Linked DNA regions of Anolis sagrei. The protein of the gene in region 2 binds, or shares a complex with, the protein of the main gene of each other region. Links are inferred from orthologs where the notes say so. Each region holds a gene or a part of one and is shown on either strand. Other genes may lie near its edges.

Region 1 (7,405 bases), on a different chromosome or scaffold from region 2:
GGACTCATCGTCGACATTTAAAGCTCCAGTGTCAGTGGTCGTCTGACTTGGCCACACCGGTCCATACGTTAGTTACATCTGAGAATTGACTACTGTAATGCACTTTACGCGGAGCTGCCTTTGAAGACAGTTCGGAAACTGCAGTTAGTACAAAGGTTGGCTGCCAAATTACTAACTGGAGCTAGCTATAGGGAGCATACTATGTCCCTACTCAAGCAGCTCCACTGGCTTCCAACAATTTTCTGGACTCAATTCGAAATGCAGATTATTACCTACAAAGCCCTATATGCTTTAGGCCTAATCTATCTTTGAGACTGCATCTCTTTCTATGAACTGGTGCAGGCTTTGAGATCAGGAGGAGAGGCCCTTCTCTTGGTTCCACCATCATCTCGAGTGCGATTGGCGAGGATGAAAGAGAGGGCCTTCTCTGTAGTGGCTACCTGGCTCTGGAATACCCTCTCAAAAGAGATTAGGTTAGTCCCCACCCATGACTCCTCCTGATCCAGCCTAAAAACATTGATTTTTAAGCAGGGTTTTGGCCTCGAATAGGCTGAAATGGGCCCATATGAGGTTGACACTTAGACACTTTAGTTGTGATTTGAGGGCAGCTAGTTTTAACTACATGTGGTTTACATTTTAAACTGTATTTTCATTTTATTTGCTGTGTTAATAGTGGCTGTCTTTATAACTTTTATTTGATATTGTTTTTATACTCATGTAGTGCCTTCTAAGCTTCCTTGATACCCTTTTGGAAGATGGTGGCAGGATATAAATAAAGTTTATTATTATATATTATCTACAGAGCAGTTTGACACCAATGTAATTGCCACGACTTCATGTTGTAGAATTCTGGGAGTTGTACTTTGGTGAGATACCAGCACTCTTTAATGGAGGAGGTTAAAAGAACTTATAAAACTACAGCTCCCAGGATTCCATAGCATTGAGCCATTTGATTTAAAGTGGTGTCAAGACTTTCTGTATATATTTCAGATTTCAATACTAGATGTACCCATAGTTTTTGTCTTTCCCTACTTTTTGAGGCCTACTACGTTGCCTATTATTACTCTTAACTAGAGTAAACCTATTCAGTTGTTAAATGGTGAATCAACCCATAGAGAAACCCCACTGAAAAAATAGATCTTCCTGCAATCGGTATTTAGGGTTCAGGCCATAGTTTCACTTCTGTCAGTCAAAGGATGTGTCCGCACTACACAGCTGCAGTGCTTTAATATAATCTTAACTGTCACGGCTATCCATGGGTTTGCAATTAGGTACATAGAGCTCCAAATTCTCTGTCCAGGTGCTGAAGAGCTTCATCAAATCATAGAATAATAGAGTTGGAAGAGACCATGTGGGCCATCTAGTCTAACCCCCTGCCATGGAGGAAACCAAATTCCAAATCCTAGGATTTCCCAGGAAGGCACCATGTCAATTAAAAAGGATGCAACAGCTATAACACGTGTCAAACTCAAGGCCCGTGGGCCCAATCCAGCCCACCATGTAATTTTATGTTGCCCTTCAGATGCTGGACTGATGTGTATTGATCAAGAATTCCTGTATTCTTGTTCAATAGACATCATACCTAGAGCTGATGGGAGTTGCCATACAGGAACATCTGGAAGGCTGCAGTTTTGAGTAAGAACAGTGGAGTTCAAATTTAGATAGAAGGCCTGTGGACAGAGGCGGCCCTAGGTAATTTTCAATAGTAAGCAAACAGTATCCCCCCCCCCCAACCAATCACTGATATATATTTTCTGTTTGTCATGGGAATTCTGTGTGCCATATTTGGTTCAATTCCATCATTGGTGGAGTTCAGAATGCTCTTTGATTGTAGGTGAACTATACATCCCAGTAACTACAACTCGCATATGTCAAGGTCTATTTTCCCCCAAGAGCACCTCAAGAGCACCCCTGGGCAAAATCAACTATACTGCAAATGCTTACTTTGCGTAATGGGTTGAGCCGCCCGTGCCTGTGGATAAAATGTCTGACGTTAAAATTTCCTTTAAACTTTCTCCAACCTCACAGCTGCAAATGGTGTTGAGCTGTAATTCCCATCATCCCCAGTACACATGGCAGATAATAAAAAGTGATGGGTGTTGTCATTCAGTGTGCGTGTCAGGGGCAACTTGAGAAACTGCAAGTCACTTCTGGTGTGAGAGAATTGGCCGTCTGCAAGGATGTTGCTCAGGGGACGCCCGGATGTTTTCATGTTTTATCATCCTTGTGGGAGGCTTCTCTTGTGTCCCCATGTGGGGGTGCTGGAGCTGACAGAGGGAGCTCATCCATGCTCCCTAGATTTGTATCTCCAACATGTTGGTCCTCAGTCCTGCTGGCATAAGGATTTAACCTACTGTGCCAGTGAGGGCTCAATAACATCTGGGGAACCAAACTGGGTTAAAAAATGACAGCAAAATGTAAAGATCTTGAAAAACAATAACTCCCATGATTCCATATCACTGAGCAATGGCAGTTCAAATGGTGCCTCAATTCTACAGTGTGGACTTACTCTTCAATGGCCTTATAGACCAAACTGGGACTGGGAATAAACAACACAACTGAGACCTAAGAATAAGGAACCAACTTCACAAATTGGATGGGTTGCTCCTACTAGGGATCCAAGTATGTCAACTCATTTTTTCAGTGCTTCAGAAAGTTACTCTTTGGATTACCAGAATCCACCAATCAGTCTGCCGCCAGTGGCCATGCACACTACAAGTGCACTTTTCCTCTTGTAGTTTGTTTTTAACAGTAACTTTCCAAATTCTGCTCTTTCCCCATTCTGGCATCCCACAGGAAATGCTGGGTGGGGTATTGGATGCTGAGGAAGCCATTCATCTGCATTAAGTAGTCTGGAGCCATAAAAAGAAAGGCCATCGATCAGTCTGCGCTGGTCGACTTTTCACCTGCCAGAGATATCGATGGTCCTGGGTTTCCATCCAGAGGCCCCTGAATGGAAAGAGTCGGGTGGCAAGGATGGCAGAGAGAGAAGAGGGAGGGGGGTTAGATTTTGGAAGGGACCCACAAACATGACCCATGAACTCCAATCCCTGAGATTGTTCACATGTTTAGGTCTCCCTATAGATTGAACCTACATAATTGAGAGCACAAGATACCTTGGGAAGGAAATAAAAAACCCAAACAATACAAGGCAAGGGTTGCTGTGAGTTTTCTGGGCTGTATGGCCATGTTCCAGAAGCCTTCTCTCCTGACGTTTCACCCACATCTGTGGCAGGCAACCTCAGAGATTGTGAGGTCTGTTGGAAACTAGGCAAGTGGGATTTATATATTTGTTGAATGTCCAGGATGGGAGAAAGAACTCTTGTCTGCTTGAGGCAGGTGTGAATGTTGCAATTGGCCACCTTGATTAGCATTGAATGACCTTGCAGCTTCAAAGCCTGGCTGGTTGCTGCCCGGAGGAATCCTCTGTTGGGAAGTTTATTTATCGTGTCAGGAGCGAACCAAAACAGTTGTATTGCATTAAAAACAAACAAACAAAACACAAAGTTTGCAGACTAGGTATTCTATTAAATGTCCTTTGACCAGTAGCTGCCCACTTGGAGTGCCTCTGATGTTGCTGCAAGAAGGTCCTCCATTGTGCACGTGGCAGGGCTCAGGTTGCATTGCAGTGTTGGGAAGTGTTACAAGGCAAATCAAACCCACAAGGGGGAAAGAGAAATTGGGAACCAGGGGGCCCTCCATATCCATGGATTCTGTACCCACGAATTCAACTATCCATAGCTTGGAATTCCCCCCCCCCCCCCAAATTCAGAGCTTGATTCTGCCATTTTTATATAAGGTGCACCATTTTACTCCCTCGTTATATATAATGGCACTGGAGCACCCATGGATTTTAGTTCCTGGAACCAAACCTCAGCACACCCAAGGAAAGGGCCTGAGGCTGTTAGGAATGGTGGGAGTTGAAGTCCAAAACACCTGGAGGACCCAAGTTTGAGTAGGCCTAGTGTAGACGCATCTGTTGCTTCTACTAGTCCTACTTTCTTTCTCAATGAGTCACAATGATCCTCGGTCCAGTTACCAGAATTCAGGAGGAAGTTTACTTCCTATGTAGGGACTTTGGAAAAGTTGGGGAAAGGTGTTTTTTCTCTCCTATGGAAAGACAGGACCTTCTCCTTGGAGGAAACTCTACTTTCCTCCCTATGGAAAGTTTTGGGTCGCCTTGACTTTGCCGAGCAAGAGGGGTCCCTTGAGGCCACCCGCGCGCCCCCTCTTCCCCGCTCTCCTTCATTCAAGGGTTTTTATCAATGGGAAGAAGAGTGTCCTGTCACTCTTCCCCGTCCGCCTCCCCCCTCCCCTCTTTCGGGGCTGGGCTGACGTCACCGACGAGGCGATAAATATCTGTTGATATAATTGGACGTGAGATTCCGGGGTTGCGATCGCAGGACGTTGCCCGCCGCCGCCGCCGCCTGCTCCGGAGCGGCCCCCATGATTTATTCAGCAAGCGAGCTGTCAAGCCAGCGTCAGCTTTTTAGGCGAAGGCTGCGTGATCCCCCGACGGGGTCCCACCTATAAAGACCCGGCAGACCCGGCTCCCGTTAGGAAGCCCTCGCTCGGGTCCCCGGGACGCCAGCAGAAGCGCTCCCAGACGGAGAAGGGGGCAAGCAGGCAGCCCGCCCCAAGGCAAGGCAAGGCAAGGCAGGGAGGGCAAGGCAGGCGGGTCCCCACCGCTGGCCGCTTCCAGTCTCCGAGTCTCGAAGGTAAGGAAGAAGGGGAGAGCGGGAGGGAGCCCGGGAAACCTGGCCAACTTTGCCCTGGAAGGAGAGAGGGGCGTGGGAATGGGATTCGGGAGAAGAGGAGGAAGGAGAGTTGGGAGAAGGGTGTGTGCGGATGGGGTTGGAGCCTGGTTGAGGTGTGAGGGAGCTCATAGGGATGCCTGTGTGGGGCAGAAGGAAAGGAAGTCCTCATGAAGGAAGGAGCTAAGGGAAGAGAGACCTTTCTCTATCCGGCAATAGAGACCATGGTAGCAAGAGAGACCATCACCTATAACAACAATGTAGACCATTAGAGCAACATAGGGCATTCGCTATAGCAATAAAACTATTATCTATAGCAATATTGATCAATATTGATCATTATAGCAATACCAACTATTAGCTATAGCAATATTGATCATTATAACAATACCATTATCTATAGCAACATTGATAATTAGAACATTACCAACTATTAGCTATGGCAATATCGATCATTATAACAATACCTACTATTAGCTATACCAGTACTGATCATTATATCAATACTAACTATTATCTATAGCAGTATTGATCATTATAGCAATATCAACTATTATCTATAGCAAAATTGATTATTATAGCAATACCAACTATTAGCTATGGCAATATTGGTTATTATAGCAATGTGTACTATTAGATATATTAATATAGACTATTTTAGCAATATAAAGCATTAGCTATAGCAATACACACCATTAGCCGTAACATTATGGCAATATGAATCATTTAGTTCTTGTGGGTTTTTTCGGGCTATATGGCCATGTTCTGATGATGCTTGCCATAGATGCAGGCGAAACGTCAGGAGAAATGCCTCTAGAACATGGCCATATAGCCCGAAAAAACCCACAAGAACTGAGTGATTCCGGCCATGAAAGCCTTCGACAATACATTGAACATCTCTACGGGGAGAAACTGTTCCAAGACACACGGAAATTGGAGAAACTAAGGACCAGGAAAGCACATCTACTGTGCTCCCTGACTTTCCTTCTACGCTGCAGAGACACAGATACCATCCCACAATTCCTCGCAGCCAAAAGGACTTTCAAAACACCACAGGCTCACCGGATCTATGACCGCCTGGAACGCAACCTCTTAAGAGAGAGAATCCACACCATCCGCAAAGAACTCGCAAACACAGACAAGGAACTGCTGCATCTCCATATCAATATCAGCCAGAAGATGAATTCCCAGGACTGGGACAAAATAGACAATCTCACTTACAGGAAAATGGAGAAGAACATGGTTGTCCACACCAACAGACAAAAACAAAAATTCCACAAACGACAAAAGCAACAACCGAAACCAGAACTGGATACATCACGGACCATCATCAACCTGACAGACAGACAACTCTCTGAAGACCAAGTATCCATACTAGCGAAAGGAGGAAACTTTGCTGTAACCGCGACCAGGATCCCAGTAGAAAACATCATTGCCAATGTCGAATCAGCAATTTACCGCCTACCAGAGGAGGAAGCAGAAGAAGTACGAGCGGAAGCAGCAAGGATCCTGAAAAAGGCAAAACTCCCCTCCAGTAACATTACTAGGAAGGAAAGAGAAGCCATTCGAGACCTAAATTCAGATCCTGATATCCTCATTCTGCCAGCAGACAAGGGGAATGCCACAGTCATCATGCATACGGAGCAATACAAGGAGAAGATCAGAAAACTCCTGGACCCTACTATATACAAAAAACTCAAGCAAGACCCAACTGCCAAAATAACCAGGAAAACCAACACCCTGATTAAGAACTCCTCAATAAACTTTGACATACGACAGCAGCTATGTAAATCGGAAGCCCATCCACCCAGGCTTTATGGACTCCCAAAAATCCATAAGGACTCCACCCCACTCAGACCCATCGTGAGTGCCATTGGATCCCCCACATACGACCTAGCAAAATTTCTTGCTGCACAGTTACAAAGCCATATTGGGCTCACTACACACTACATCAAGGACTCAGCCCACTTCATAGAAAAAATCAGCAATCTCAAGCTAAATACAAACGACAAACTGATCAGCTTCGATGTGGTATCTCTATTTACCATGGTCCCGGTAGCAGACACCATGGCACTCATCAACCAGAGGTTCCCAGAAGACATCACGGCTCTGTTTCACCATTGCCTCACCACCAGTTACTTTCAGTGGGACAATGAATTCTACGAACAGAAAGATGGAGTAGCTATGGGGAGCCCTCTCAGCCCAGTCATAGCTAACTTCTACATGGAACACTTTGAAGAACAAGCCCTGGAGACAGCAACCAAAAAGCCCACGATATGGTTCAGATATGTGGATGACACCTTCACCATTTGGAGCCATGGAGATGAAGAACTCAACAGGTTCCTGGACCATCTTAACAGCATCCACCCAAACATCCAGTTCACCATGGAAAAAGAAAATGAAGGAAGACTGCCTTTTCTAGATGTCCTAGTCATCCGCAAACCAGATCAACAATTGGGTCACACCGTCTACAGAAAACCCACACACACAGATAGATATCTACATAAAAACTCCAACCATCACCCAAGTCAAAAAAGAAGCACCATCAAAGCCTTGGCAGACCGTGCAAAAAGAATCTGCGAACCCCACCTCCTCCAAGATGAACTGAACCACCTCAACTGGGCTCTCCAGGCCAATGGATATTCCATCTC
Region 2 (7,575 bases):
GATCTAACCAAAGTAGAATGTTGCTCAGAGCTTGTCTTGCCTTGAAGATATACAGAGCTTATCTTGCCTTAGCACACCGTTTCTCAACCTAGGGGTCAGGACCCCTGGAGGGGTCGCCGGGGGGGGGGGTGTCAGAGGGGTCACCAAAGACCTCCAGAAAACAGTATTTTCTGTTGGTCATGCAGGTTCTGTGTGGGAAGTTCGGCCCAATTCTATCACTTGTGGGGTTCAGAATGCCCTTTGATTGTAGGTGAACAGTAAATCCTAGTAACTACGACTCCCAAATGTCAAGGTCTATTTTCCCCAAATTCCACCACTATTCACATTTGGGCATATTGAGTATCTGTGCCAAGTTTGATACAAATTTGGTCCAGATCCATCATTGTTTTGAGTCCACAGTGCTCTCTGGATGTAGGTGAACTACAACTCCAAAACTCAAGATCAATGCCCACCAAACCCTTCCAGTATTTTCTGTTGGTTGTGGGAGTTCTGTGTGTCAAGTTTGGCTCAATTCTATCATTGGTGGAGTTCAGAATGCTCTTTGATTGTAGGTGAACTATAAATCCCAGCAACTAAATCTCCCAAATGACAAAATAACCCCTCCCCCCCCAAAAAAAAAATCCCACCAGTATTGGGCGTATCGGGTATTTGTGCCAAATTTGGTCTAGTGAATGAAAATACATCCTACAAATCAGATATTTACATTACGCTTCATAACAGCAGCAAAATTACAGTTGTGATGTAGTCATGAAAATAATGTTTATGTATGGGGTCACCACAACATGAGGAACTGTATTAAGGGGTCGTGGCATTAGGAAGGTTGGGAACCACAGCCTTAGCAGATACACTTACATAGGAAAGCATTCCTGTCAGGGGTGCTTTGAATGTGATTTTCCTGCTTCTTGTCAGGAGGTTGGACTGGATGGCCCACAAGGTCTCTTCCAACTGTTATGATTCTATTCCTGGAGGCCAACCTTCTTCCAAGCTTTCAGGACACGGCAATAAAGCAGCAATAGGAAAGATTACCAGGCCAATTAGATTTGACGCTGATGACCAGGACGGTTTTCAATGATGTATTTTAATATTGAGATAAATGTTTTTAATGTTTATGTATGCGTATATGAATTCTTGTCCCGGCATTGAATGTTTGCCGTATATATGCTGTGCTCCGTCCTGAGTCCCCTTCGGGGTGAGAAGGGCAGAATATAAATAAAACAAACAAACAAACAAACAAACTAGGGGTTCTGATCCTCCAGGACCACACCCTGCTTTAAACCATATTTTACACATTGACTGCACTTGAGCTGTAAAGAACGTGGCCACAACCCCAAATTCAAACAAAAGCTGGTGGTGTTGTGGCTTATGTGGTGGATTGGCACTTGGGAGTTCCAGGTTCTACTTTCCATTGAGCCATGAATGGAAGTAGAATGAATGGAATGGGTGACCTTGACCTAACCTGCCTCACAGGATTGTTGTTGCAACGATTAAATAGAGAGGAAGGATAGTCATCCTTGCTGTCTCGACTTCTGGAAAGAAATGCTAAGTAACATAAATACATTTGACCATTTGTAGCTCTTTGTCTGGACAGAACCAAGCCTTAGGTAAAGGTAAAGGTAAAAGTAAAGGTAAAGGTTTTCCCCTGATATGACGTCCAGTCATGTCCGACTCTGAGGTGTGGTGCTCATCTCCATTCCTAAGCCGAAGAGCCGGTGTTGTCCATAGACACCTCCAAGGTCATTTGGCCAGCATTACTTCATGGAGCGCCGTTACCTTTCTGTCGGAGCGGTATCTACTGATCTACTCACATGTTTCCAAACTGCTAAGTTGGCAGAAGCTGGGGCTGACTGTGGAAGCTCACCCCGCTTCCCGGATTCAAACCTGTGACCTTTTGGGCAACAAGCTTAGCAGCCCAGCGCTTTAACCCACTGCGCCACCGGCCTTACACATATACAAAACGCACAAGAACATCATTTGCTCTACTATAACATCATTTCCAGCCTCAGAAGCTAAACTACACCTTCACACCCACAATATATACACACTTAATGGGGATGCTGATCTGGGTTTCTGATGAAGCACACAACCAGAGTTAAGGTCCCGGTGGCGCAGTGTGTTAAACCGCTGAGCTGCTGAGCTTGTTGACCAAAAGGTTGCAGGTTCAAATCCAGGGAGCGGCGTGAGCTTCCACTGTCAGCCCCAGCTTCTGCCAACCTAGCAGTTTGAAAACATGCAAATGTGAGTAGATCAATAGCGGGAGGGTAATGGCATGCCATGCAGGCATGACCTTGGAGGTGTCTATGGACAACACTGGCTCTTTGGCTTGGGAATGGAGATGAGCACCACACCCCAGAGTCGGACACAGCTGGACTTAATGTCAGGGGAAAACCAACAAAAATGGGAATGCTGGTTTCTGATGAAGCACAGGACCAGAGTAGTTGCTGCTAGTTAATTCATCCGGATTAGCTGCCTCTGCAGTGAACTCTGGACTTCTCCCTCCTCTGCTTCCTCACTCCTACAAAGGGAGCTGTAGTACTGACCAGAAAGCTGGCAAAGGAGCCCCAGTTTCGTGACATTTTTGAGAAAATGAGTGTCCCCCGGTTTCCTTGGGAAGTCGCCTAGATCTCAGTTTGCATAGAAGATGGCAGGAGACAAAATAGAAACAAGGGAGTATAAGAAGGATGGAAGGGTTGGAGGCGAGAGGACACAAAGAAAAGAGGGGGGTTTGGGATGGATCGGGACACTATCAACTCATTCCACCCCCGGTTTGAAAGTTGGGGGCAAAGATCCGGCATGGGTCTCGCCCTCGACCCCCTTCTCAGCCTTGGCATCCCAAAAGCCAGGTCGGGCTCTTACCTGCAGCAAGCCCTTCCGGGCATCCAATGCATCCATGCCTGGGCTGCACCTCCTCCTCCTCTTTCTCTCTGTCCAAGCGGCGTTGGGAGCTTCTGCAGCATCCAGGCTCAACTACACAGCCACCAGCCGCGGCGGAAGAGTCTCCTCCCCCCGGCCCGCCCCCACCTGCCTTCACATGCTCTCCATTCCGTGGGGAGAGTCTTCCACAGACCCCAAGCTCCCCACACACGGCCACTCACTTCCCCCACAGTGCAAGCCAAACCCTTCCCGTTTGCTTTGGAACAATGCGCATCTTGTCCACACACAGGAATGTGCACCTAAGTCAACCCTTTCCAGGCTCACCTGGGCTAGATGTTGCCCTAAAGCAGTGTTTCTCAACCTGGGGATCAGGACCCCTGTGGGGGTCGCAAGGGGGTGTCAGAGGGGTCACCAAAGACAATCAGAAAACACAATATTTTTTGTTGGTCATGAGGGTTCTCTGTGAGAAGTTTGGTCCAATTCTATCGTTTATTATTTATTTATTTATTTATTATTTGCACTTGTTAACCGCCACTCTCAGCCCTAGGGCGACTCGTGGCGGTGTACACAACATAGAGAAACAACAATTTACAATGAATCAAGACCACAACATAACATCTTACTAATACAAAACAACTAATTAAACTAAAAATCCGCATCGTCTTGTTTTGGGGTCATAATCCGTCTCGTAGTCGTAGTCCATTCCGGTAGTCATTCCAATACCATAGCACTCGTTGGTGAGGTTCATAATGGTCTTTGATTGTTGTTGTTGTTGTTCATTCGTTCAGTCGTCTCCGACTCTTCATGACCTCATAGACCAGTCCACACCAGAGCTCCCTGTCGGCCGTCACCACCCCCAGCTCCTTCAAGGTCAGTCCAGTCACTTCAAGGATGCCATCCATCCATCTTGCCCTTGGTCGGCCCCTCTTCCTTTTGCCTTCCACTTTCCCCAGCATAATTGTCTTCTCTAGGCTTTGCTGTCTCCTCATGATGTGGCCAAAGTACTTCAACTTTGTCTCTAGTATCCTTCCCTCCAGTGAGCAGCCGGGCTTTATTTCCTGGAGGATGGACTGGTTGGATCTTCTCGCAGTCCAAGGCACTCTCAGCACTTTCCTCCAGCACCACAGTTCAAAAGCATCGATTTTCCTTCGCTCAGCCTTCCCTATAGTCCAGCTCTCACATCTGTAGGTTACTACAGGGAATACCATGGCTTTGACGAGGCGGATCTTTGTTGCCAGTCTGATGTCTCTACTCTTTACTATTTTATCGAGACTGGACATTGCTCTCCTCCCAAGAAGTAAGCATCTTCTGATGAACTATAAATCCCAGCAACTTCAACTCCGAAATGCCAAGGTCTATTTTCCCCAAACTTCACCAGTGTTCACATTTGGGCATCTTGAGTATTCGTGCCAAGTTTGGTCTAGATCCCGCATAGATTACTGCAACGTGCTCTACGTGGGGTTGCCTTTGAAGACGGCCCGGAAGCTTCAAATGGTCCAGTGTGCAGCAGCCAGGTTGCTAACAGGAGCGGCGCTCAGGGAGCACACAACTCCTCTGCTGCATCAGCTCCCCTGGCTGCCAGTTTGCTACCGGGCCAAATTCAAAGTGCTGGCTTTAGCCTATAAAGTCCTAAACAGTTCTGGCCCAGCCTACCTATCCGAACGCATCTCTTCCTACGAACCCTCCAGGAAGTTAAGGTCATCTGAGGAGGCCCTGCTCTCGATCCCGTCTACTTTGCAAGCACGCTTGGTGGGGACGAGAGACAGGGCCTTCTCTGTGGTGGCCCCTTGGCTGTGGAACTCCCTGCCTAGGGATATTAGATCAGCCCCCTCCCTCCTGACCTTTCGTAAGAGAGTGAAAACCTGGCTCTTCGAGCAGGCATTCGGAACCCCAGAATAGTCAAGCTTGAGATGGAGAATGACCCAGGAACGGCCAAGACGACGAAACGGATGAGGATTGGAATGAGAGGAAATAGCTCTTTTTAAATTGTTATTGCACTGTCTTTTTTGTCTAAATGCACCTAATTTGAAATGGTTAGGACCAGAAGTGTAAAGATATGACCACCTCATGCACGTCAAAGGGTTTTCTGAACCAGCTTTTCTAATTCCTTTCTTTGAAAGATACGAGTATTCCTTGACAGTCTCCCATAAGTAGGTGCATTTAGGTTGACTATCCCTTGTGACAGATTGGGTATTCTTTATTACAGGTTGGGTGTCCTTATTCAAAATGCTTAGGACCAAAAGTGGTGGTCCTCAAGAATTTCAAAGGGTTTTCTTAGGTGGTTTTGCTAGTTTTTGCTTTTGTATTGTATTGATGGCATCGAATTGTGCCGATATGTAGACCGCCCTGAGTCGCCTGCAGGCTGATATGGGCGGGATATAAGTGATGTAAATAAATAAATAAATAAAAAGTTCTATCCTTGTTTGAGTCCACAGTGCTCTCTGGGATGTAGGTGAACTACAATGCCCACACTCAAGGACAATGGTGATTGGGCATTCGGATAACGTAGCCAGTCCAGCGGAGTTGATGGAGGAGGAGAATAGCTTCAGTGCTGGTGGTCATTGCTTCTTCCAGTATGCTGACATTTGTCCGACTCTCTTCCCAAGAGATTTGCAGGATTTTTCAAAGGCAACGCTGATGGAATAATTCCAGAAGTTGAGTGTGACATCTGTAGACAGTCCACGTTTTGCAGGCATATAGCAGGGTTGAGAGGAGAATAGCTTTATAAACAAGTACCTTGGTATCTCTATGGATGTCCACACACAGGATTCTGCACCTAGACAACCTTTTCCAGGCTCACTTGGGCTAGATGTTCTAAAGGAGCTGGGAGGGTCAGCTCGCCTTGGGTTAAGGTGGCTCTCTGTGTGCCTTCAAGTCCACTATGGATGGATGGCCACGCCATCCATTTCAAAGGGCTTTCTGAACTGGTTTTGCTACCAGCATACCTTTATTTATTTATTGCAGTTGCTTATACCCCGCCCTTCTCACCTGGGGGGACTCAGGGCGGCTTACACACACAAGGCACAATTCGATGCCTGTATTACAAAAACATAATATCAAAAACATAACATCAGTAACAACAGTAATTATAACACTGATAACAATTAACGTAAACAATCAATATTATCGGCAGTAATAGCCATAAACCCGTAAAAACAATTAAAACAATAAAAACAATACAAACCTCATTGCTGGTCAGTGTTTAACCGACTCATAGTTAGGTTCTACTTTCCACACATTGTTGGTCCTATCATTCTGGTTCCATGTCTAATTGTCAGGGTGCCCAAAGGCCTGGTCCCAGAGCCAGGTCTTTACCTTCCTCCTGAAGGCAAGGAGGGAAGTTGAAGCCCTGATTTCCCCCGGGAGTGAGTTCCACAGATGGGGGGCCACCACTGAGAAGGCCCTGCTCCTCGTCCCCACCAGCCTCACTTGTGATAGCGGTGGGGTCGTGAGCAGGGCCTCCCCAGATGATCTCAGATTCCGAGATGGGATGTAGAGGGAGATACGTTCGGACAGATATGCTGGACCGGAACCGTAAAGGGTTTTGTAGGTCAAAACCAGCATCTTGAATTGTGCTCGGAACTGAATCGGCAGCCAGTGGAGCTGACATAACAGGGGGGTGGTGTGTTCCCTCTATGTCGCTCCAGTAAGCAGTCTAGCTGCCGCTCGTTGGACCAGTTGAAGTTTCCGAACAGTCTTCAAGGGCAACCCCACGTAGAGTGCGTTGCAGTAGTCTATACGGGATGTGACAAGAGCGTGGACCACTGTGGCCAGATCAGTCTTCCCGAGGTACGGGCGCAACTGGTGCACAAGTTTTAGTTGCGCAAAAGCTCTCCCGGCCACCGCTGAGACCTGGGGTTCCAGGCTCAGCGATGAGTCCAGGATCACTCCCAAGCTGCGAACCTGCGACTTCAGGGGGAGTGTAACCCCATCCAGTACAGGCTGTAACCCTATACCTTGACAGTCTTCCACCCAGATACTAAGTAGGGCTGGCCCTCCTTAGTTTGCAAGATCAGACAGGGTCAGGTCTCCCATCCAGATGCTAACTAGGTGCATTTAGCAGGCATGGGCAAACTTCGGCCCATGCCTGCAAACTTTGGGACTTCAACTCCCAAAAATCTCAGCCAGTTTACCAGCTGTTAGGAATTGTGGGAATTGAAACCCAAAAACATCAGGAGGGTCCTTGCCCATCAATGAATTAGAGTGTTTAGGATGAGTATCCCTTAGTACAGGTTAGGTATCATCCCTTATTTGAAATGGTAGGACCAGAAGTGTAAAGATATTACCACCTCATGCATGTCAAAGGGTTTTCTGAACCAGCTTTTCTAATTCCTTTCTTTGAAAGATACGAGTATTCCTTGACAGTCTCCCATAAGTAGGTGCATTTAGGTTGACTATCCCTTATGACAGATTGGGTATTCTTTATTACAGGTTGGGTGTCTTTATTCAAAACGCTTAGGACCAGAAGTGGAGGCTTGTGGTGGCCTCATGAATTTCAATGGATTTTCTTAGATGGTTTTGCTAGTTCCTTCCTCTGGTATGTGCTGGTATTCCTTGGCAGTCTCCCATATAGATAGTAATGAGGGCTGGCCCTCCTTAGCTTTCAAGATCAGTCAGGTTATTTGGGTTGGTTATCACTTATTACAGGTTGAATGTCCCTTATTGAAATGCTTATGACCAGAATTGTGGACTTGTGGTGACTTC

Evidence for each region. The genes of interacting proteins can lie anywhere in the genome.
Region 1: the proteins of CRHR1 (region 2) and CRH are in contact, whole or in part, in a cryo-EM structure (PDB 6P9X), measured with the Homo sapiens proteins. The link is inferred for Anolis sagrei from reciprocal best matches to the Homo sapiens genes CRHR1 and CRH. Residues at the interface, in NP_004373.2 of Homo sapiens: Lys113, Tyr116, His117, Ala119, Val120, Asn123, Trp169, Val172, Gln173, Met176, Ser177, Pro178, His181, Thr192, Tyr195, Asn196, His199, Phe203, Phe260, Gly261, Lys262, Tyr267, Tyr272, Gln273, Met276, Ile277, Leu280, Tyr327, Phe330, Phe331; in NP_000747.1 of Homo sapiens: Glu156, Pro157, Pro158, Ile159, Ser160, Leu161, Asp162, Leu163, Thr164, Phe165, His166, Leu167, Leu168, Arg169, Glu170, Leu172, Met174, Arg176.

Annotation. Positions count from the first base shown.
Region 1 is NC_090024.1:45,606,887-45,614,291, forward strand, and holds the start of CRH (corticoliberin), read left to right. Parts: upstream 1-4,383; 5' UTR 4,384-4,718; intron 4,719-7,405. UniProt on the Homo sapiens protein: Hormone regulating the release of corticotropin from pituitary gland. Induces NLRP6 in intestinal epithelial cells, hence may influence gut microbiota profile.
Region 2 is NC_090026.1:38,132,461-38,140,035, forward strand, and holds the start of CRHR1 (corticotropin-releasing factor receptor 1), read right to left. Parts: upstream 3,011-7,575; 5' UTR 2,890-3,010; coding exon 2,854-2,889; intron 1-2,853.